3 linked regions of the Medicago truncatula genome follow. The main gene of each other region encodes a partner of the protein of the gene in region 2 in a complex. Links are inferred from orthologs where the notes say so. Each region holds a gene or a part of one and is shown on either strand. Other genes may lie near its edges. The genes, in order: THO complex subunit 5A, THO complex subunit 1 and THO complex subunit 3.

What was found.
Region 1: THO complex subunit 1 (region 2) and THO complex subunit 5A share a complex: the UniProt entries of both Arabidopsis thaliana proteins name them as parts of the THO complex. The link is inferred for Medicago truncatula from reciprocal best matches to the Arabidopsis thaliana genes THO1 and THO5.
Region 3: THO complex subunit 1 (region 2) and THO complex subunit 3 share a complex: the UniProt entries of both Arabidopsis thaliana proteins name them as parts of the THO complex. The link is inferred for Medicago truncatula from reciprocal best matches to the Arabidopsis thaliana genes THO1 and TEX1.

The regions. Positions count from the first base shown.
Region 1 is NC_053044.1:50,337,435-50,345,146, reverse strand, and holds the start of THO complex subunit 5A, read left to right. Parts: upstream 1-4,671; 5' UTR 4,672-4,777; coding exon 4,778-5,023; intron 5,024-5,110; coding exon 5,111-5,401; intron 5,402-6,243; coding exon 6,244-6,580; intron 6,581-7,712. UniProt on the Arabidopsis thaliana protein: Acts as a component of the THO subcomplex of the TREX complex which is thought to couple mRNA transcription, processing and nuclear export.
Region 2 is NC_053044.1:3,850,071-3,857,619, reverse strand, and holds the start of THO complex subunit 1, read left to right. Parts: upstream 1-4,513; 5' UTR 4,514-4,673; coding exon 4,674-4,676; intron 4,677-5,487; coding exon 5,488-5,571; intron 5,572-6,247; coding exon 6,248-6,322; intron 6,323-7,517; coding exon 7,518-7,549. UniProt on the Arabidopsis thaliana protein: Acts as a component of the THO subcomplex of the TREX complex which is thought to couple mRNA transcription, processing and nuclear export. Contributes to the integrity of the endogenous trans-acting small interfering RNA (ta-siRNA) pathway.
Region 3 is NC_053044.1:27,732,721-27,739,908, reverse strand, and holds the start of THO complex subunit 3, read left to right. Parts: upstream 1-4,171; 5' UTR 4,172-4,345; coding exon 4,346-4,408; intron 4,409-4,559; coding exon 4,560-4,655; intron 4,656-5,552; coding exon 5,553-5,682; intron 5,683-5,848; coding exon 5,849-5,940; intron 5,941-6,163; coding exon 6,164-6,232; intron 6,233-7,188. UniProt on the Arabidopsis thaliana protein: Acts as a component of the THO subcomplex of the TREX complex which is thought to couple mRNA transcription, processing and nuclear export. Contributes to the integrity of the endogenous trans-acting small interfering RNA (ta-siRNA) pathway.

The sequences.
Region 1 (7,712 bases), about 46 Mb from region 2:
TATGCTAATTTACTCATTAGCAGCCCTTATTAAAAACAAGTGTGAGTTTGGTAGAGCAGAGTCTATTGCTGCTCTCTTAATTTGCTGCTCTCTTAATTTGCTGCATGTGCATTGGTCTATTTGGTAGTTTGCGTTATAGTGTCATGCTTATCTCACGAGTTCGTTGTTGCCAGAAATTCCCCATTCCCCCCATTCAGCATCTTTCTTCTTAAAGCTGCAACTACCTCAAACAACTCCCTTTGCCTCATTACTGTAAAAAAAGTTAATAAAAAAGTTGAAGAGTTATTTTATTGAGTAAATCATCATTTTTAGTCATTTAAATTGCAAGAGTAAGTTACTTTAGTCATTTAAATTTATGAACTAGTATTCAATTTAGTCCCTTCAAAATAAATTGAACGGTATCACTCAATTTAGACTTTTTAAAATAAGTTTGTTTTATGATTTTATATTTTTGTTGATACATTAAATCCTATTCAACTTAATAGGTATGTGTTACATAATTTTTTTTAGAGTTTTATCAAAGATATATTTTGATGGAATGACTAAATTGATTTCTTTATTTATTGGATCCTTTTAAACTCTATTTCAAAACTAAAAATCGTCTAATTTAGAGATCATTTTCACCGTTAATTAATGTTGATTCAACATGAAGTCAGAGTGAAACCATGAATGAATCGTCCTAATACATGAATTGTGTAATTTAAAACCAAGATTTAAAGATGAAACACTACTAAGGTTTTGTTTGGAAGTTTGAAGGGGAGGGGAAGGAAAAACATCGAGGGGAGAGAAATACAGGGGAAAATTGAGAAATCTTTCATATTTTTTGAAAGATTATTTTTTTAGAGACTGATAAATTAATACTTATGATTAATATATTTTTAATTTTAAGAATATTATAACAACATATATTAAATTTGAAGAATTTATATAAATCCTCACAAACCCCCCAAAACTCTCCTCTAATACAATTTTTTAGTTCTTCCAAACGATAAGGGTTTTATATATTTGAAGAAAAATAAGCCTCCAAAGCACCTCCTTCCAATGTCCTCTATTTCTTCCACTCACTCCTTCCTTTTTTTTTCCAAGCATTTCCTTCCTTTCCCTTCCGAACTCGCAAACAAAACCTAAATTTCTAACCTAGGAGTTCTTTATTTATGGGACTGACTTTGCTATTTTATAATTTTTAAAACTAAGTTGCTAAACTCTTACAATTTTAAGTACGAAAGTGATCATTTAATTGTTGTTTCATCCATACAACCAATGGTAATTTTAGTGTTCCCATAATACCTTTTAAAATTATGTGAAAACATGAAAACAAAAGAGGGAAATAGTGGTCCCCTGGTTCCTTATCTTGCTTCCCCTTTTATTTCTTTCTCTTATTTTTATTATTCTACGCACGAATCCAGAAATCAGAATTGCTTTCCTGAGTGCTACTGGATCAATTGCGTTAAATTCACCCCGATCACGTGTCCAAATTGAATTATTGGATTGTTCAATTAAAAAATTAAAATCAATCCAAACAAACATATCGTCCTGCTGCAAAAACTTAATGCTGCCAACATGTGTATGTATGCACATGAATGTGAATTCTTATTTCTTGCGCAAAGTCATTGAATTATTATGGCGAATAAATTTAAAATTTCTCAAAGAACTCTATAGCAGGCTCTAACACATATCTGTCATAGAGAATCCACTCACATATGCATATTATATAATCTGGTAATAAGTTGAAGCATGCTGAATGTTTGGTTTTATCTTCAAAATTTTAAAGCATGAAGTCCCACATTGTTAAGTCAAGAATTAAAAACAATTTTACTTATCTATTTAAACCCCCACCAACTAACAAATTGATTTAAGTTGAAGCATGTTAAGAACTGCTCTTGGAGCCTTAGTTGAAGAATTAAAAGAGCTACTCACTCCGGTCTCAAATCTAAGCAACTTTTCACTTTTTAAATTTATTCAATAAATGATGTATGTGGTCTAGTTGCTTACATTTGAGACCGGAGGGAGTAATTTTAAAAAATTTCTTAACTAATGAACCTAAACCATCTGTTAGCACAATTCTTTATATATATATATATATATATATATATATATATATATATATATATATATATGAGTCAGGATCCATTGCCATCAGTTGCATAAATCTAACAACTTACATCAAATCTTAGCCATTAAATACTAATCCAACGACTTATATTCGTCAAATTAAAAGTGAGACACATGCAATTGCCTCTCCTCCTTCTTCTTTCATAGTTTCCCAAATTTGAAGCAGAAATTTGGATCCATTCCTTCTTCTCTAACCGTAATTTTTGTTTTTTTTTGGGTTGAAATCATTCTTTCCAAAGTGCTCGTTTTAGATCTTCCATTAGACACAAACAAATCGGCTAGAGATTTTGATGCATATATTTAGACTAAATTCATGTCAATTTGTGGTTTATATACCCTTTAATGAATGAGATGGAATAAGACAATCAAGCTGTAAATATCACTTCCTCTGATCCAATCTCTTTCTTGGTCTATTTCAAAATTCCGATTGTTTGCCACAAGCGCTTTAAGTAAATTTAGGGCTAATCTTCCTAGAAATATTAATTCATACAATAAACAACTACAAAAAAGAAAAGCAACAATCGATGCATAACAAAACCATAATTAATTTGATAGGATTTCAATGTTTTGGATCAGAAGTTATACGTTTGTTTTTGTCAATTGGAGTTTGGAGGGCCGAAAGGATTGCTCAAGGAAGAGGAAACATTGAAAAGCGTCTCACAGTAATTGTAGCATCTTCCCTTAAAAAAAGTAATTCTAGCATCTATAATTTGAACCATTAGATTAATTAGATCTAATGGTTGAGATTTTGTGTAAGTCTTTCGACTTACATCTGGTGTCAATGAGAGCAAGAGAGAAGACGAAGTGGAGAAGAGGAAAGATAGGTTACAGTATATGACCCTTTTGAAAGAACAATTAAATCTGAGGTGTTGATTTTGATCTAACGGTCTAAATTAATTCCTCTCACCCTCTCATTATAAAATGTCCTCTCATTTGATATATATATAGGGTTAGGATCAAATGACACCATGGTGTCAAAATTAGTTTGACACCAAATCTCATCCATTCATTTCATTTAATCCAAAGGTTTAAAACTATCATCAAATTAATTAATATACACCAAATACTCTCTATCACCTAATTAAGAAACATATCTATCATCATTAATTTATAATCAAACATTCCATTTTTATTTTCCCAAATTTATTTGTTTCTCTTTTTTATTTCCCCAAATTTATTTGTTCCTCTTTTTTATTTCCCCAAATTTATAAATTTTCCCAGATTTCTATAATCATACTCAAACTTTTTTTTCTAAACTTTTTTATAAAATGAATGGTTGAACTCATATACCTATGGTTGTTTGCGTCATCATCACCATCAATGATATTTCTTTGTCTTTATCTCATATACTCATATTTTTTTTACTAATTAATTAAATTGTATTAAAAAAAACCAACAAGCTCGACAAATGATTCTTGAAATTGTTCATGCTAATTAGATTATTTTGTCACTCATAGGTCTAATTTTTTTTAGAGGACTCGTTGTGTCTCATGTTTAACTGAATTAAGATTTATCATGATTTTATAAAAATTATAAAGTTTGAGTTTGTGCTTATGGCCAAAAGAAAAAAATTAGGGGAAAATAAAAAGGGTTTGAATCTACCAAAAAAAAGAAGGTATTGTTTGATTATGAATTAATGATGATGAATATGTTTCTTAATTAGGTGATAGAGAATATTTGATGTATGTTAATTAATTTGGTGATAGTTTTAAGCCTTTGGATTAAATGAAATGAATGGATAAGATTTGGTGTCAAACTAATTTTGACACCATGGTGTCATTTGATCCTATCTCTTCCTATATATAAATAAAAGTTAAATCATTGATTATTTGTGTTAACCCTCACAAAACGAGACTATGGTAATTAGAGTTTTGCTGTGAGATAAATATAACCCGAATAAGGATTGTTTTATCCGAAAATCGAATTCAAAATTCAAGCTCTTTGAAACAATTCGTTTGCAGTGAAATTTATTAATCACTAGGGTTCGATCAGTTAATTAACTTAGGGTTAAATATGTTTTTTGTCCCTATAAATATATCAACTTTTCGTTTTAGTCCCTCTAAAATTTTCCTTCAACTTTTAGTCCCCATAAAAATTTTCAATCACTACTTTTGGTCCATATTTTTAAGTTAATTTTAGTATTTTTTTTTAATGAAATGTATAGAATATTGTAAAAATCTTTCCAAGAAAAAAAGAATTTTTTAACAAAACATAAATTTAATATGAATTTTTAACCATAAAAAAATATAAAAGTTCATATTAAATTCATGTTTTTGTTAAAAAATTCTAAATTTTTTGGAAGAGATTTTTATAATATTATGAATTTTTCTGCAAAATTTTATTCAAAAATATGAATTTTACATGTGAGTTTACTTTAAAGGTGGGACCAAAAGTGAAAATGAAATTTTTTTGGGATTAAAAGTTGAAAGAAAATTTAAGAATGATTAAAACGAAAAGTTGATATATTTATAAGGATCAAAAATATATTTAACCCAATAACTTACATCAATTTTTGTTGATTTATTTTGGAGTACTATACCTATTGCATAATTTTATTTTATTTTTTGTCGGAATTCAAAGCTTTTGTATAAGCTGATTTTTGCTTCGAAGGGGAAGAAGAAAGAAAAGGGTTTTAGGTCAAGCTGAGAACAAAAGAACAGAAAAAATGGAAGACGGTGAGATAGAAGAAGGTTCAATCGCCATGGAAGAACAAAACGAACAAGCCTTTCCCAATTCCTCAGAAGATTCCAAATCGGACGAAGAATCACCCTACGAATTGCTTCAAAACAGTAAATCTTCCATTGAATCAATCATCTCCGATATCCTCTCCATCAAAAAAGAAGCTAAACCTAAACAACTCCTTCGTGATCTCGTTACTCAAATGTTCCTTCACTTCATCACTCTTCGTCAGGTACTTAGGGTGTATCCAATTTCACAATTCAACTAAAAAATTACTGTTTCGATGATTTTAATTTTTGTTTTCTTCTCAATTTTATAGGCGAATCGTTCGATTTTGATTGAGGAGGATCGGGTTAAAATGCAGACAGAACGCGCGAAGGCGCCGGTGGATTTTACGACTTTGCAGCTTCATAATTTGGTGTACGAGAAAAGTCATTATCTTAAAGCCATTAAGGCTTGTAAAGATTTTAAATCGAAGTATCCTGATATTGAACTTGTGCCTGAGGAAGAGTTTTTCCGAGATGCTCCGAAAGATATAAAGGATTTGGTTTTGTCGAAAGATAGTGCTCATAATTTGATGCTCAAGAGGCTCAATTTCGAGCTATATCAGGTGAATATAAGATATTCTGTTGCAAAACATTACCTTGAATATTTTTGGCATTTTGTAATTAGCTTAGAAGGAATGTGCATTGTACATAGGTCCTGTTTGGATAAACAACTTATTTGCAGCTTATAGCATAAGTGCTTATCATGATTAGCAATAAGTGCTTATCTATATGAAATTTCTATATCAAAAGATAAAATAGTTAAATTATTTTTGTATGAGCTATAAGCTGTTTTCATAAGCTATCTTGGAGAACTTTTGAAAATAACCTGAACATAACTTACGAACAATGCCATAAGCTGTTTTCATCAGCTCACCCAAACAGTCTCTCAAAATTTATGCCAGCAGATAAGCTCAAATAAACCAATCCAAGCAGGCCCATAGTATTTAAATTTCAAAGAGAATGTGATATTTGTGATATTGGCAAAAGTTTATATCGCATTTCTATACAACATGCTTTTGTCCTCACCAAAAGATTTGTATTGATAAGCCTGCTATTGTGTTAGGAAAGGATTGTAGGATAAATACAGGGTTGGCTTGTGTTAATCTATATTTTTCTAGACATGTACAAATTTATATCCAATCCAATGTTACTTGATAAGTTGATATTTTGTTCTAAAGTTAAAAGTGTGTGTTGTGTGACCTGTCGATCAAACTGAATGTGGTTTTATATCAGGTTGGTTTGGCTTTAAGTATGCTGGTTGTGCTATTTTGAAGTTTAAAATTTCTTACTCTCCTTCATTCATTCATTCATCTTTTAGAGTTGTATTGATAATCTGATTTCTAAGTTTTCATGCAAATTGCATTAAATATCCTTACAATTCTTCTTATATGCAAATTTGTACCAGCGTAAAGAGCTCTGCAAACATCATGCAAAACTGGAACTGCAAAAGAAAATCCTTTTGGAGACTATTGCGAACCGAAAGAAGTTCCTGACAAGTCTCCCTTCACATCTTAAGTCTCTTAAGAAAGCATCCTTGCCTGTACAAAACCAGCTAGGAATTACGCATACAAAGAAACTAAAGCAGCATCATTCAGCAGAGTTGCTTCCACCGGCTCTTTATGTGATTTACTCACAGCTATTGGCTCAGAAAGAGGCCTTTGCAGAACCTATTGATCTGGAGATTGTAGGAAGCCTGAAAGATGCTCAAGCTTTTGCTCGCAGTCAAGCCAACAAGGACACTGGTAAGTTATAGCTGATACATGAATTTTAACATTCTTTGGATATACTATATAGTTCTATTGCTGCTGGCAGTGTATATTCTGACACCGGATTATATTTATATAAACGGTGGATTCTAAACTGAGGGCTCTATTAAGTCCCTCGCCGGTGAACCAGTTAAAAAATACAATTAGATCAAATCTGTGGTCCATATTTGTTACAAATTAAAATGAGAACAACAAAAAATTTCCACACATAATCTTAATCCCACATCTCTCATATGCGTGATTGTGTTTGTAGGAGTACCGGACCTTAAATCTCTAAACCTATTTTCCATATGTGGGAAAGTCTGCTTTGAAATTAAGAAACCCTTGTCAAATTACTTCATCGTCTCATTGTAAATCAGTAATGCTCAAGTTCCCCTTCTTGAAATTTAAATAGATTCACGGCATTTGTTTCATGTGGGGTGATAGACGTTTGGCAAGTGTACCAAATACTATCGAAGTAGTAAAAATATCGTTCCCACAAGGACTGGTTTTAATCTCAATAATTCAATTACGTTGTAAGTTAGGATGTATAGAAGTTATTTTGTTTGCATAAAAGTAACGACAAAAAGTAAAGATTGATTTTAAGAATAGGAGAGAGATGAGTTTAGGTCTTTCGAATCATCTATGTTCCCCTAATTGGTATACTGCACCTATTCTTGTGAATGCTTTTCTAGTTCACGATAGTTAGCAAAATAGTCCTAATCAATCCCTTGAGTTGGGACCCTCTTCTAGGGTTACAGCCCCTAATTCCTTAGGTGTTCTAATAACCTTTGAAGGTTTAAGCACGTTAACCTAATATCACTAATAAAGGATTATCCATTTCTAGACCAACCATGTTTATTAGAACAATTCAATTAGGTCTAAGTTGAAAGCTAGGGTCAGTAGTCATTCGTTCTCACTAAATCATGTTTATATATAAAAAGCATTAAGAACAATTGAATTGAATAAAAACTAGATTGTCATTCACAATAAATAGAGTTTCACAGCAACATGTTTCAATTAGGGTTACAAAGATATTCTCAGACCTAACCTCTAATGGATTTAGCTACTCATAATGGTGTTTACAAATAACCTAATCATTAGAGGAATCAATACATACATGAGCAGG
Region 2 (7,549 bases):
TTTCATACTTATTTTAATTATTATTAAATAAACCATATACTAAATTAATACACCACATAAAACATCCAACAATCACATATATACAAATATATGCATATACTCCACGTAAACCACCAAACATCATATATAATAATATATATACATACTCCACATAATAAAATAATTAAATAAATAACTAGGGCGTTACAATAAACATCGCAAAATAGATTCTAGTTTTTTTTATAAAGTTTGTTTGGAAACAACTATATAAAAGTGATTTTTTGTTACAAAATAATTAGTTCAATCTTTTGACTCATATTTTCTCTCTTTTTAGAAGTTACTCTTAACAACTTCTAATTTGAAGTTGTTTTTAGATTTTTTTTTAAAAGTGTTTTTTTCATAAAAAAACTAAACAAACTTTTATTTTGATTTGTAACTAACAAACTCTAACCCTAACATGCCGTTTACTCAAATTCATTTTCATTTAACCACATCTGAAACAGTTTGTATGTGTATTAATTTACAAAGGTACATTGACAATTTATAATTGGCTAAACTGCACTTTTCGCCTCTTAAATTTTAAAATGTTACGATTTTGGCCTCCTATTAAAAAAAAAAAAAAATTTCAGCCTTTTTCATCCTAAAATTGCTGAGAAGACACCACGTGTCCCAAAAAAGGGGTCATATTCGCAACTTTTTGTAAAGATAAAGGGTCAAAAAGCATATTTCCCTTATGTTAGGGGTCAAAAGAGCATATTTCCCTAAACATGGGGTCACTTTTGCCATTTTTTTAATAGGGGTCAAAATCGCAACATTTTGAAACTTAGGGAGCAAAAAATGCATTTTAGCCTTTATCATTTTTAACTGTTTTGTTGGTTTCATGATTAAAATTCAACATCAAAAGTAAATAAGTGAGAAATTTATAGTTCAAACTTTGATAGCTCATAACAATATATCAACCACCCCAAAAAAACAACTTATTAATCTTGTCAAAAATAAAATAAAGTGCATGGATGGAATTTTAGTGATATGTTGTGTTGAGTAGTCGTTGTTCTCTACTTCTCTCTTTCAGCTTCAGTTCAGCAGTTAACAAAGTAATAATATTTTGCTTTTCGTATCACCAAGTGCATTTTCGAGAAACTGACATGTTCAGTATAGTCAATGTTGCAGTAAACTATTAAATCAAAACAAGAACTTTTACTATTTCAAAGACTAAGATTAGTAGTACCAACTAGACTATCTGGTCTATTATCAGTTAAGTACAACAGATATCCAATCATTGCTTCATATTTTTAGAAATAATTTTTTCTAAGAAGATCTTTAATGTATTTCTCTTGACAAGTTAATTTTTTTTTTTTTTTTAACGACAAAATTTATTAATAACCAAATTCATGTGATAGGTCAGCAAGTGCATAGAAATATCGATTTTAATATAAAAGATTTCGAATCCCACAATACTTGAAGTACCATTATCTATTGTTGGTCAAAAGAAAAAAAAAAGTATCGTTATCTATTGTCATGTTGTTTATCTAAGGTAGTGCTAATTAGTTTGATTGCGAAATTAGAAAATTAACTTGTTTTTAATTATTTTTATGACAAGAGACAAGAATATAATTTGTGTCGATCGCGAATACTTGTTAAGTTATATTTTATTATTGTAACAGGAAAATATTTTCGTGCTTAAAAGGATTAAATTAAAGAGGCTGCTACACTTTTGCGTGTGCGACACCGAATTTCGACTTCGTAATCTATTTGACCTCTTTCGCGCGTACGCATTACAACTTTAAAATTTAGTTTGAAAAATAATCAATTTTTGCGTGAAAAGTTATTTTTAGTAGAAATTTAATTTAAAGGTTCTGTTTACTTTCGCATAGCTGAAACCATATTTTAAAACTCACAGAAGCTCGCTTTCGCGTGTCCAGCTACAAGTTTAAAATGACTTTTGAAAATTAGTAATTTCTAAATTAATTAAAGAAAATGCTCTGACTGTATTTTAAAATCAATTCCTAAATCTTCTACGATACATGTTTCACTCTTTCAAGATGAAATGAGTATCACATTATTCCAATTTTCAATGTTAAAATTCAATGTTAAAAATAAAAAAATTTAGACTTAAATATAATTTCTCTTACAATTTCTAATCATACAACTTAACATAGATAGGACGTTCATCCTATACCGAACTCTATAAAAATATACTCAAGACATAGTAATTATAATAAATAGACTTTTATTCATCCCATTGATCATCATTGAAACAGAGAATTCAAAGAAACAAAACGTGAATCAATATGAGCAAAGTGGACAAAACCTGTTAGTGATGGCTACTCTAAAATGAAAAGAAGGAAGGCACGGCAATAGTCACTCGTAAACCGCAGCAACAGGAAGAAATAGAACAGCAGCAACAATTGGATTTGGAATCGGTAATGTACTTGAAATAAATATGATCAAGTACAAGCGATAATTTAAGTTTGAGGTTATGATGACAGGTCATGCAACGTTATTTTTAGTATAATTTTGAGTTAGTTTAGTAGATAAAAAATTAAGTCATTATAGAGGATTTTAGAGAAGTTGTTCATGGTTTAAGAGACATTTTGTATCGTTTTCAATTGAGCCATATAATTATGTTTCTTCCCTAAAGTCTAAACTAGATAATTTCATAGGTGGTTTGAGTCTTTTATTACAAATCATTTCTTTTCTTTTTAGCAAAACATAATATTCATACACTACAATAATAACAAAGATCATTGACTCAACAAAAACATAAATAAAGTCCCTTATATTTAATAAAAATAAAGTTATTTGATTTAAAAAAAGCATAAGTAAAGCTCATCATATTCAACAAAAACACAATACTTAGGGTTTTTTCTTAGGAAGTTGAATGATATTAAGGTTATTTATGTAATTTACTCTGTTTAATAGTGGTATGAATATCCGCGGGTATGGATACCGTTAAATCCGCATCTGTATCCATTAATTAGCGGATAGTTAAAAAATCTGTTTATTTTATTCATGGATATCCATTAAGGTATCCGCTCCGTGCCCGTGGCGGATTTTATCCGCGGATATCCGTGGGTGCAGATTTTTTTGCCATCCCTACCTGCGAGAATGTAAGTCCTCACTTTAATAACAGTATCAATGTGTATGGAAGCCTAGAGGAGTGACGATCCTTCATCATAGTGCACATATAACCTTTAGGATGATGAGGAGCAACGTGACATCTAGAGGGATCTGTCAAACGAAGTTAACCACTTTTATATAATCTTTAGCTCATAATAGATAGACATTTTTGCATTAAGTCAAACAAAAGAGGTGAATGAGATTTGAAGGATCCTAATCGCTCTTAATAATATGAATCAACACTTTTTTAATTTTTTTGCAATCGAATCAACCCGCTTTGCACATATCAAACAAAACTTGAAAACTCCCTTCATTTTACTGATTTAATTATATGTTTAGCAAAATGCCTAGTCGAAACAACAATTCATGTGGAGATGATAGTTTACTATTGTATTACTTGGAATAGTTTGATGGAGTTGTCAAATTTGTATTCAACACCCTCCTCCAAGGGCGTCTAAGGTTTTATCGGATGATCATAAAGGTGTGGTTCCTCTTTTGTCGGATGCTTCTCCTCTTTTAGTTATGCTGTAATATTTTTTCAAGGGTAGTTTTTTTTAGTCAAGTTTTCAACGGTAGTTTTAATGTAGTTTTTTTTTTTTTTTTTGGCTTAAGCATCGTTTAATACAAAATAAATGAATAAATGACATACAAACAAATATGCTTCGACTCGCGGTCCGTGTGGAGCAAGAACTTTTAGGGTGTATTTGAATTGCTAATTTACGAGAGGAAAAGAGAGAAATACTTACTTCTCTTTTTTAAATTACAGACAATATATATTTTTAAAATAAGTTGAATATGATTGACATATTATTTGATATTTTTTTTATTATTTAAATTTTTATAAATATAAAATTTTTTGAAGGATAGAAAAATATTTTATAGACACCTATATATTTGTAGTTTTTTTTTGAAGGAACGTATATATTTGTAGTTGGAATTTTTTGTTTGAAATAGAAATACACACCCTACCAAAATAAAAACATAGGGGGTGTTTGTTTCAAGGTTAAGAATGACATTTCCGAGAATACATGGCTAGGGAATGATTATACCCATGTTTGTTATGAGGTTGAGAAAAAAATATTCCTAGGTATAAAGGTTCTTGAGAATGGAGTAACCTCCCATAACTTCCATTATTCCCATGAATTTATTCCCATGTAAAGAGATGGAAATGTGCATTCCCATGATATTATGCATAGATTTTAAAAAAAAAATTGTAACTTCCAATTTTTCCAGGAATGTCAAGTTATCTGCCAAACACTTTTTTTAACAAATACCCAAGAATCAAATTTTCATATTTTCATTCTCGGATATGTTATTTATGTTTCCCAAAAACAAACGCCCCAATACAGTTTTTTTAAGGACAAAAAAACAACATACAGTTAAACGCAGCGTTTTGGTGTTTAGTGTTTTTCTCAAAACAAATCACTCTCTTTCTTTCTTGCTTTGTTCCAATTCAATTCAACTCTACAGAATCACAATTTCTTAAAAAAAAAAAAAAAATCAATTCTTCTAACCATTATTCAACGCTTTGAGGTTCCATTGAATAAGGGTTTGTGTTCAATTCAAACTCCATAATGGTAAGTTCCGTTTTTTCTTTTGTTCCTTTTCACAATTCAATTTTCAGTGAAAACATTGGCACAAAGTTTCAATTTTTTGGATAATCCCTTATACCCATTTGTTTATATAGCTTAATTAATTGTTTATTTATTGATTGGTTATAGGTTTTGGGTTTATATAGGGAAGTAGATTATTTGTTTATTAGAGCTTAAGCTTATAGTATCAAAATAGGGTCCTGTTTGGATAAACAACTTAATTTACTGCTTATAGTATAAACACTTATCATCTATAAGCGCTTATTACAAGTTATTTCTATGGCAAAAGGTAAAAAAAAAGTCGAATTGTTTTCGATAAGCTGTTTTTGTAAGTGTATGTTTGATTTTGCCAATGAATTGATTCTGGCTAAAATTGAGTTGAATGTAAAGTGATTTATGCTTGGATACATTGATGTAAAAGTGAGTTCAGCAACAAATTTGAGTGTAAAAATTAATTCTAGAATCAGAAGCTACAATTTCTAGATTCAAGTAGAATCTATTATACTTTAAGAGGAACCAAACATGTCAAAATCAATTCTACACCTCTATAACCAATTTTGTCTCCTCCAAAAGTGGAACCAAATATACACTGCGTCATCCTTCAGAGCTGCTTAAAACAACATACACGTCATAAGCTGTTTTCATAAGTTCTCTCAAACATTCTCACAATTACTTATGCCAGTAGATAAACTCAAACAAGTCAAAACAAAGAGGCCCTAGATAATGCTTTTTGCGCATTATTCGATTGTTGAATTCATTGGTTGTGTTGTTTTGTTTGGTTTATTGTTATTTGCAGGAGGTATTTAAAAGGGCCATATTACAACCGGGGCCACCTGAAAGTTTTGCTTTGCAGACTGTTCAAGAAGTAATACAGCCTCAGGTATATTTTGAAATTCTTTTGAGCCAGTTTGGATTAGCCTCTAGTTCATTGAAGATTCCCCATTAAAATTCATTGCTTACAAATTTTTTCATATAAGCTTGTAAGTGTTGATGGAGAAGTTTATCAAAACTGCCTCTAACTCCATTCCTGTAGAGTCCTAGTACAAATTTATAATGAACATTGAACAATGCTGAACTAATTTCCAAACGAGTAATGACATGTGTACACCTATTTTGCGACAACTTTTGGGACAACCTTCTTCTTCTCTCTTTTTATTTCAAAACATGTAATAAGTTGTTTCTATAAGCTCTGCCAAACAGTCTAACAATTGTTTATGCCAGTAGATAAACTCAAATAAGGCAATCCAAACACGCCCTTGATCATGCATATCATTCTGATGGCTTATTTTCGATTTTCTTTGGGATGGGATGATATTCTGGATTTTACAAAATAAAGAGATTTGCATTTAGGGAACAGTAAGGAAAAAGGCGAGAGACTCTTAAATTTCAAAAGGGTTTTGATTATGGGATATCTATAACTTATGAAAAATATAACATGGTTGTCTTTTGACTTAAATTGTTCATTCATGATTCATGTCCCGAGGTTCCTTTTCTAGTAACTTTGATAATGACATTGTTAAAGGTTGTGGTTAATTTAATTGATTTATGATTAACAGAGACAAACAAAATTGGCCCAAGATGAGAACCAATCCCTAGAAAACATTCTACGGCTATTACTTCAGGAATTCGTGGTATGTTTAACTGCTACCCTTGCTCATAGATGACACCTTATGTGCTAGTCGAATAAAGAATGATAATCTAATTGGATTTCTACAAATTTCTTTGGAAAAATCCAATAGTGTTTTATCTTTTTTTCTTTTCTTTGGTGTGTCTATTATGCATGATTATGATACTAAATTTATTTTATTTTTTCTGTTAAAGATTTGGTCATGAGCCAAATTCTTAGTTTAAAGGTAGACAGTATTGCTATAATTCTATGTTAAAGAACACGAGAGTTCTTAGGAGATGTGAGAGATATTTAGACACTATATTTTACTAATCACATAGAAGAATGGCTTTTGGACCACCAATATTCACGTAAGGACCCACTGTCCCTATACATGGATGCCGCCTACGCCTGCGTAAGGTCGCGTCCCTTTCCTTATCCCCCGAAACCATCATGCCCGAACCTCTAGGCCAAATATTCGGCCAGAATATCCGGATTTAGGGGGATACACGTGTTTCTCCTTATCTCGTGTGACTTAGGGATTAAGTCACGGAATAAGAGGCCTAATTAGGCTATAATAATCCCCTTGAGACCATTCTCAAGGCATGACCTAATTAGATACTAAACCCTAGTTTCAGTATTGTACTCACTGCAAGTACAGTTTGATGCATAATACCGACCTTATAGATTTTCTTATGCTAATACAGTGGTTATGGAATGATACTTATTTGGTTATACCCTTTACTTTGGGAACAATGCAATCATTACTCATTAGTAAAGCAGTTTCCTTGTTACTATACTTTAATGTCAGTTTAACTATTTTGGCATTCAAATTTCAATGCTTATTTTCTTTCTCAGTAAAGTTAGACATGTTTTTCATCTGGGATGCATGTTTTTTATGACACATTCAGTTTGTTTTCTTGCTAGTGCATGTATTTACTTACCATTGACTTGCATATTTTTAAGTGTTTTCTTTTTACTCTTTTATTTATTTTGAATTCACATGTAGTGTATAGTTTATCAAATGGTAAAGTAAGCAGTGTTTTCAAGATGCTTAGATGACTTGTATAAAGTAAACTGTAAACTAAGAAAAGCATTTTCAGAAAAACCATTTCAAATATAAACTTATCTAATGCTGTTTCTTTTCCCCTCTTTGTTTTCTTGTTTCATTGTTTATGTCTCTTTATGGCCTGTATTAATATGTTCACACTCTGGTTCAGTCGGCAGCAGTACAGTGTGGGGAGGAAGTAAT
Region 3 (7,188 bases), about 24 Mb from region 2:
TGAACCATTCAATTCCATCAACCAATTGACAGAATTGTAAGTTTGAAACAAACAGGGCTCTGCATCTCCTCTAGTTCTCCTACAAATGAAAGTGAGCTATATAATTTATTCAAAGATGCAGGCAATCAATGTGCAAATGATTTGCTCCTCCATAAGCTTAAAATAAAGACTAAATCAAAATTTTAAAAAAATTAAAAGAGCTACATAACTTATTAAATTGTAAAAAATAATCAAACATTCCCATCATACACTTCTTAGTTACTTGAAATGAATGAAAGAGTGTGAAAGCAATCAAATGCTCCAACTAAATTATTAGTAGATTGACAAATTGCCTAACTACTTCTCAAATTCATATGTATAAAAAGTAGCATGCATATATACATATTGATTTGTCATTGTGATGATCGAAATGAGTTCAACAAATAAATAAATCATAAACCAAACAACACTTTCTTCTATGTAATTATAATAATTACTAACATAGACAAAATTATATCAATTAAGCATAGAAAAACCAAGAATAATTATAGTCCTAGATTGATATGGAATGAGCCTTGTATCGTCCAATTGAAGTCAGTCTAAATTCTTGGGATATAATATGTAATAAATCAATGAAGTAGTTAAAATAGAAGCTAAACACTGAGCTTAATAGGAACTATATCAAAGCATCCCAAACTAAAATAAAAATTAGCATCAATATTTTAACACATATCCAATATAAATCAAGGGGGTGTTTGTTTCTAAGGAAAGATAGTGAGGGGGTGGGAAAGTTGAGGGAAAAAAAGAGTTTCCCTTGTTTGGAACAAAGGAACATATGACAAAGGAAAGAAACTGAAATATGGGCCCCACAAAAATATTCTTTCCGCTCAAATTTGTGAAGAAAGTGGGAGTGAACAAATTTTTAGACTGAAAAGACAGTATAGCCCTTATTTTATCATCTATAGTCCCATGTTAATTTTTCTAATATATACACCATTATTTTTCTAAAAATGGCAAATGTGCTTTGTGCAATTAACGTGCAGTCATAGTTCTTCTTCAAAGTACCTAATTTTATATTTGATTTTATTAAATAAACATATATTTCTACATGTTGATATGCATGTGAATTACCATCTTTATATAAGGGTATTTATGTCATTTACTAAATATACATCTTTCTTTCGTTTCACTCTTTCACTTATTCCAAACAACCGAAAAAACATCTTACTTTCCTTTCACGTTCTATTCGCTTTCATTCCTTAATCATTCTATCCTTTTACTTTCTTTCCTCTCACCATCCAAACACAACCTAAAATATTCAACCTTTTGTTTATGAGAGGAATTCCAATTGAATGTTAGAGACCAAGAACATTTTTGTTTATTGAAAAAGCCTTCACCGGAACAAAAGAAACCAACACGTCAACATAGCAAACATTTTTTTTTACTAAAGGAAAATCTTTAATTAAAAAACAAATAAAAATATTGAATATCGCATAGGTGCACATCTAATAACGCATAAACAACAATAAACAAACTAATTAGAATTGGTTTATACATAATTCTAATTAAAGGAAAAGAAAAAACATAAGGGGAGAGCTCAAAATTAAAGAAAATTAAATGACACTAAGAAATTTTGAAACAAACGATAAACCTCTTTTTAGTAATTGCTTCCTTCATTGATAAACCCCTTATTCCCCTTTTACCAATGCATCCACATTATCCCTGTGATTCACTGTCCAAAAATAACCAAGGAAATAAAAATAAAATTAGCACCAAATGTAGTTTTGATGATAAGAGAAAGGAAAAAAACTTTCAATTGTGGGCGCCGTTGTGAACATGCTGAAAGAGAAAAAAACATAGAGGAATAGAAGAATTACAGTGTTTTTCCAACAATCTTAAACGTCGACATCGTTGCCGAATTCAATTAAGTATTTGGTGACGTGGACTCATAAGTGGAGAGAAGAGACAAGAAGAGGAGTGTAGTTATCGTAATATGTGGTGTATGGTGGTAGAATTAATGATTTATAGTTTATGTTGAATTAGTTTTAAAGAAGGGATGATGGAATTGAGGAATAATCCAATTGTGATATGTTATGTTATTGTTCGCAGGATGGAACGAGGATGACAAAGGAGTTTATGACATGAGTGTGTCTATATATATAAAGTTTATTAACTTAAGAACCTCATACAGATTAGGGTTGTATCAATGGTTAGAAAGAGAGAAATTCAAATTTAAAACATACATATAGAAGGTCACCAAGTATTGGGTGTTGGTCTATATGGCCAATAAAGATGCGCGCTAGAGGGGGTGAATAGCGATTTAAAAAGTTTACGGAGTTTTGGCGAAAGCGTTTTGAAAGATATTGACTTATTAGAAATATGCTTTGAACAATCACAAACTTTGACAAATTGTTAAGACCATGCACTAATAAGATTTGCAATAGAATTGAGAGATTCATAAGCTAAATCTTATTTCAATCAATTATTAATAATACTTGAACAATTTGCAAAACAAGACAATTGCACAATCAAACCTATAAGAAAATATAACAAGCTAAACATTAAAAACACAATGTATATGCAATTGATGAATTGCTGAGAATTGAAACTAATTGATCCAAGTGAAATAGTAAAAACATAACTCGAGGAATTAGGCCAATTTTAACCAAAAAGGAACTTAGATCAAAATCAATTTCTATCCTATCAATTTAAGCATATACAATTATCAAAATTAAAGAGGATAAGGAAAATAGAACAACACCGAGATTTTTATAGTAGTTCGCCCTTTCGTCCTCGTTTCGGGCTACGTCTACACTTCTTGATGAAAAACACTTCCACCAAGGACTTCCACTAATAGTAACAATGTTGAATTACAAATGTGATTACAAGAGTTCCTTAAAACTATCCTGGTTCTTCAACCCCTATGTAACCACTCCCTCAAACTTCAAATACCCTTTGAATTTGGTGCTTCTTGATGTCTTTGAATCCTCAGATACCCGTGCAATCCTTCAAGCTCTTCACTCAAGCTCTTCGATGCTACGTCCGACAAATGGATCCCCTTGAACACAAGAACAATTAGAAAGAACCCTCAAGACCTTTGGAGGTGGAATGAGATTATTCACCTCACTTTAGAACCTTGATTAAGCCCAATCAATTTTCTTGAAAGAACCAACTTACAATCTCTATCCCTAGAAAATCATATGACTCAAAGAACAAAGTGATTCTAAGAAAAAGTGTTTAATCTTGAAGAATTTATGAACAATGAGTTTTTGAGACCTAGAGAGAATAAATGCAAATGATTCAATACCTTGGGTGTTATGAGGAAGTGAATATATATAGAATGGGATGACAAGTGCAAAATTTCGGCAAAAAACAACATAGTGAATCGATTCAGACAACAAGAGGACACACCAAATGAACTATGATAATTGATATGATTCAAACATAATTTGAATCGATTCAAAGTGCCCTGAAGATTGAAACGATTCAAATTATACTAAATCGATTCAATATAAGTCATAAAGTTTTGGTGATACAATTCAGGCAAATTTGACTCGATTCAAAATATCATGAAACGATTCACCCCAAGTCAGAGACTTTAGGTGATACGATTCAAACATAAATGAATCGATTCAGACAACATAAACTTCAATTTTGACGGTAAAAATGAGATTTACCTAGTCATAACTCATAAGCTAACTAGAACACAAGGAATCACACAATACAAAGATACACATGTTGCTTGGGTGCTTTAACATAATCTAAGCTAAACTATCAAAGGAACAACATGCTAAATAACAAGCCACCAATTATTAAAGACATCATCAAATTAACCCAAGACACATCATTAAAACAACTATGTCAAGACAACTTCATATCATCAAATTAACTTTTACTAAGACAAATTTAAAACTAAAAAAACTAAAAAGGATTAATCTTGTATAACGTAAGTAGGTATTTTGGCCAACCAAGTTGTTTGGACTCTAATGGCAAGGAACTCCTTTCAAGAACGTATCCGGGTTCGATTTTCAGGGAAACAACGCTTGACCAGTGCACATGCCTCTACGCATGAGTCAGATTAGTCGCTCACCATTGGTGGGTCGGAAACCGGTGCAAAAGCCAAAAAAAAATAAAATTAAAGTAGGTATTTGGCCTATAATATAATGGGAAATACCTAATACCACTACAAGTTTTTTCAACGAAAACCAAGAATAGGCTAGCATCCTCTTGTTTGGATATGAAACGAAAAACCAATAGTGTCGTAGCGGGAATCAAAAGTGTTTCCCAAAATTCCTAGCTTCGATTCCACCCACGAATCCGTACGACAATCACAGTTTCCGTGTCTCGTAAAAGTGCTTCCAAAGCCATGGAGGAACAATTCTCATTTAAGAATCTTCACAGCAGAGAGTATTCCGGTCACAAGAAGAAGGTACCCTTTTCCTCTCTCATTCCAAACACCTTCAAACTTCTGATTTTTTCCTACTTGTTAAGGTTTAATATCTAGGTTTATGTTGGAAAAAACCCTCTTTTCAATGTTTATGTTTCAATTCTGAAGCGGGTCTTTGTTTGTGTTTGAAAAGGTGCATTCAGTGGCTTGGAATTGCATTGGCACAAAACTTGCTTCTGGTTCTGTTGATCAAACTGCTCGAATTTGGCATATTGACCCACATGCCCATGTAGTAACCTTACTCCTAATTGCACTTTAATTTTCTATTAATTAATGTACTTTCTCATAAATCACAATATTAGTCACTGTTTAATTTTAGGCCTGTGCTAGTCTTATTATTTGGATTTATCTTATGAGACAAATATTTATATTATTAGTATTTGAATTTTGGATAGAATCATGAAAATATTCAATATCATGTCTATAAGTTGTTTCCAGTTTATTTCATTAGATTCCCATAATGACTTATGAATATAAAGTTTGATTAAGCTCCCTAGAGTAGTAGATCTTGAATAAGTGCTTAATTAAGTTGCTTACCTAGCGCACTGTGAATACACATCTTAGCTATATTGTAATGCTGTCGTAAAGAAATACAGTAGCTTTGCTGTTTGTAAAAGATTTGACTATTCAAGTTTCCCTTAAGTAATGGTATAGTATAATTTAAGATCTGCCCTTTTGAAATTACTGTAGGAAACTTTGATGAATTTTAAGTAATGCCCATTTTCACTTTTGATGAATGAGATTACATGACCTAAGAGGATTTGTCTTTGAGAACATATGTCTTTTTAACATATGATGTAGTTGCTTTGGTGACCTTCATGACCTAAAATGACAGTAATGTTAGAGTATTTTTCCATTAAGATTGAAACTTGTCGCATTAAATCAAGAAATACATGGCGAATTATGTATGATAAGATAGGAAATTGTTGTTGAAACTTGAAGCTATAGAGTAAACTAAGGCTGGCTGTTAACTTTTCCACGAGCATCTTTACAAACGAAGCATTTTGCGATGAGATTCTATTTCAGTTTTGGTTGCTACTTATATGTCACTGTAAATTATTTTATTTTTGTTATTTCTGGATTCAAATTTGATTGTTCCATTTTGGGTGTGTGGGGGTTATTATAGGGTAAGGTTAAAGATATTGAATTGAAGGGTCACACTGATAGTGTGGACCAGCTATGTTGGGACCCCAAACATCCCGATCTTATTGCAACTGCTTCAGGGGACAAAACTGTTCGTCTATGGGATGCTCGTAGTAAGTGATCATATTTAGCTATACAATTTATTTTAAATTAATCATACAGAAGGGAGGATAATTATTATGAGCTTTTATATTTTGGGAGACGTTTAATATAATCTACTGTTATTGCCGAATAAACATTAATGAATATTGAGATGCCCCTCATATTTGATTTCTGCAGGTGGAAAATGCTCACAACAGGCAGAGCTTAGTGGGGAGAATATCAACATCACCTACAAACCTGATGGTACTCATGTAGCTGTGGGTAATAGGGTATGTTACACAATCTCTTCATTTGCTTAAAGCTCGGAAGTGAAGATTTTCTGACCATGTCTGTACCTATTAGGGTACTCATGTAGCATATGTTTTTGAGTCGATTCTTTTTGGAATCATCGAGCTTTGTATTGTAGCTGCTAAATAGACCATGTCTGTACCTATTATTATCTTGCTGTTTTTCATCATGTGAAATCTTACTTTTTCTTTGTTTTTTTTATAGGACGACGAGTTAACAATACTTGATGTTCGGAAATTCAAACCAATGCACAGGCGCAAGTTCAACTATGAGGTATTGCATAGTTTTTGCTTCATTGTTGCAGTCTGTTCTGTTTTTTGACAGTTTTTTCAGACATATTTGGAGGTTACAAAATGAAATTGTTAAAAACCTATACAAGCAAAATGTGAAATTGGTAGAGTAGAGACAACCAGAAAAAATAAATAATTTTAATGAAATATTGAAAATAGGAGAAAGAATCTTCACTTAAGGCTTATTCCCCTTACAACTGAGCCACTGCTTTATTTACTCAATACTAACAATTCTCAGTGATGAGAATCATGTGCTCTGTGTACTAAATGCCAACACTGCTAACAAATTCCCCCTAACTTACTAGCTTACTGCTCTGGTTAGCCCTAACTAATTTCCCGTTCTCTTCTGTCGTAGCAGACACTAAACCTTGAAAATTATGAGCAACCAGTCTTTTTACCACATCCTTATCATTTTACAGAAAATATGAATGTGCTTTCTTTTTCAGTTTAATTGATAAAGTAACTCGTGAATATCCAGCTATCTTCGTTGAAATTTTACAGTTTGAGAAAGGGCTTAATTGTTGGATTGTGAAATGTGAATTACTTATAGTTATATCCCTTTTAATTGATAGAAATTTGCTTGTCAACTGGCATAACTAAGTGCCCTGGTGTCAAATCATTAGAATCGACCATGAATTTGCATGTCTGTTTTGTTTGAATTACAATTTTCATGCCTTGAAACCTGATCATCTGTTAAACCTAGAAAGAAGTGAAAGAACATCGTCTTTACTTACAGCCACGTCAGTGCAAGTTATAAGGATTCACCCTAGACAGAGACGAGTACAAATTACCAATTATATGTAGCTTATCACTGATTTAAGTATACAGTCACATTTGACTGTACATGTTCTTTGGCATTGTCACCGTAAATAGTCTTGTTCCTGCTTCACAGTAAATTGAGAGGCAGAGGAGGAATGCCATTGAATTATGATGGAAATT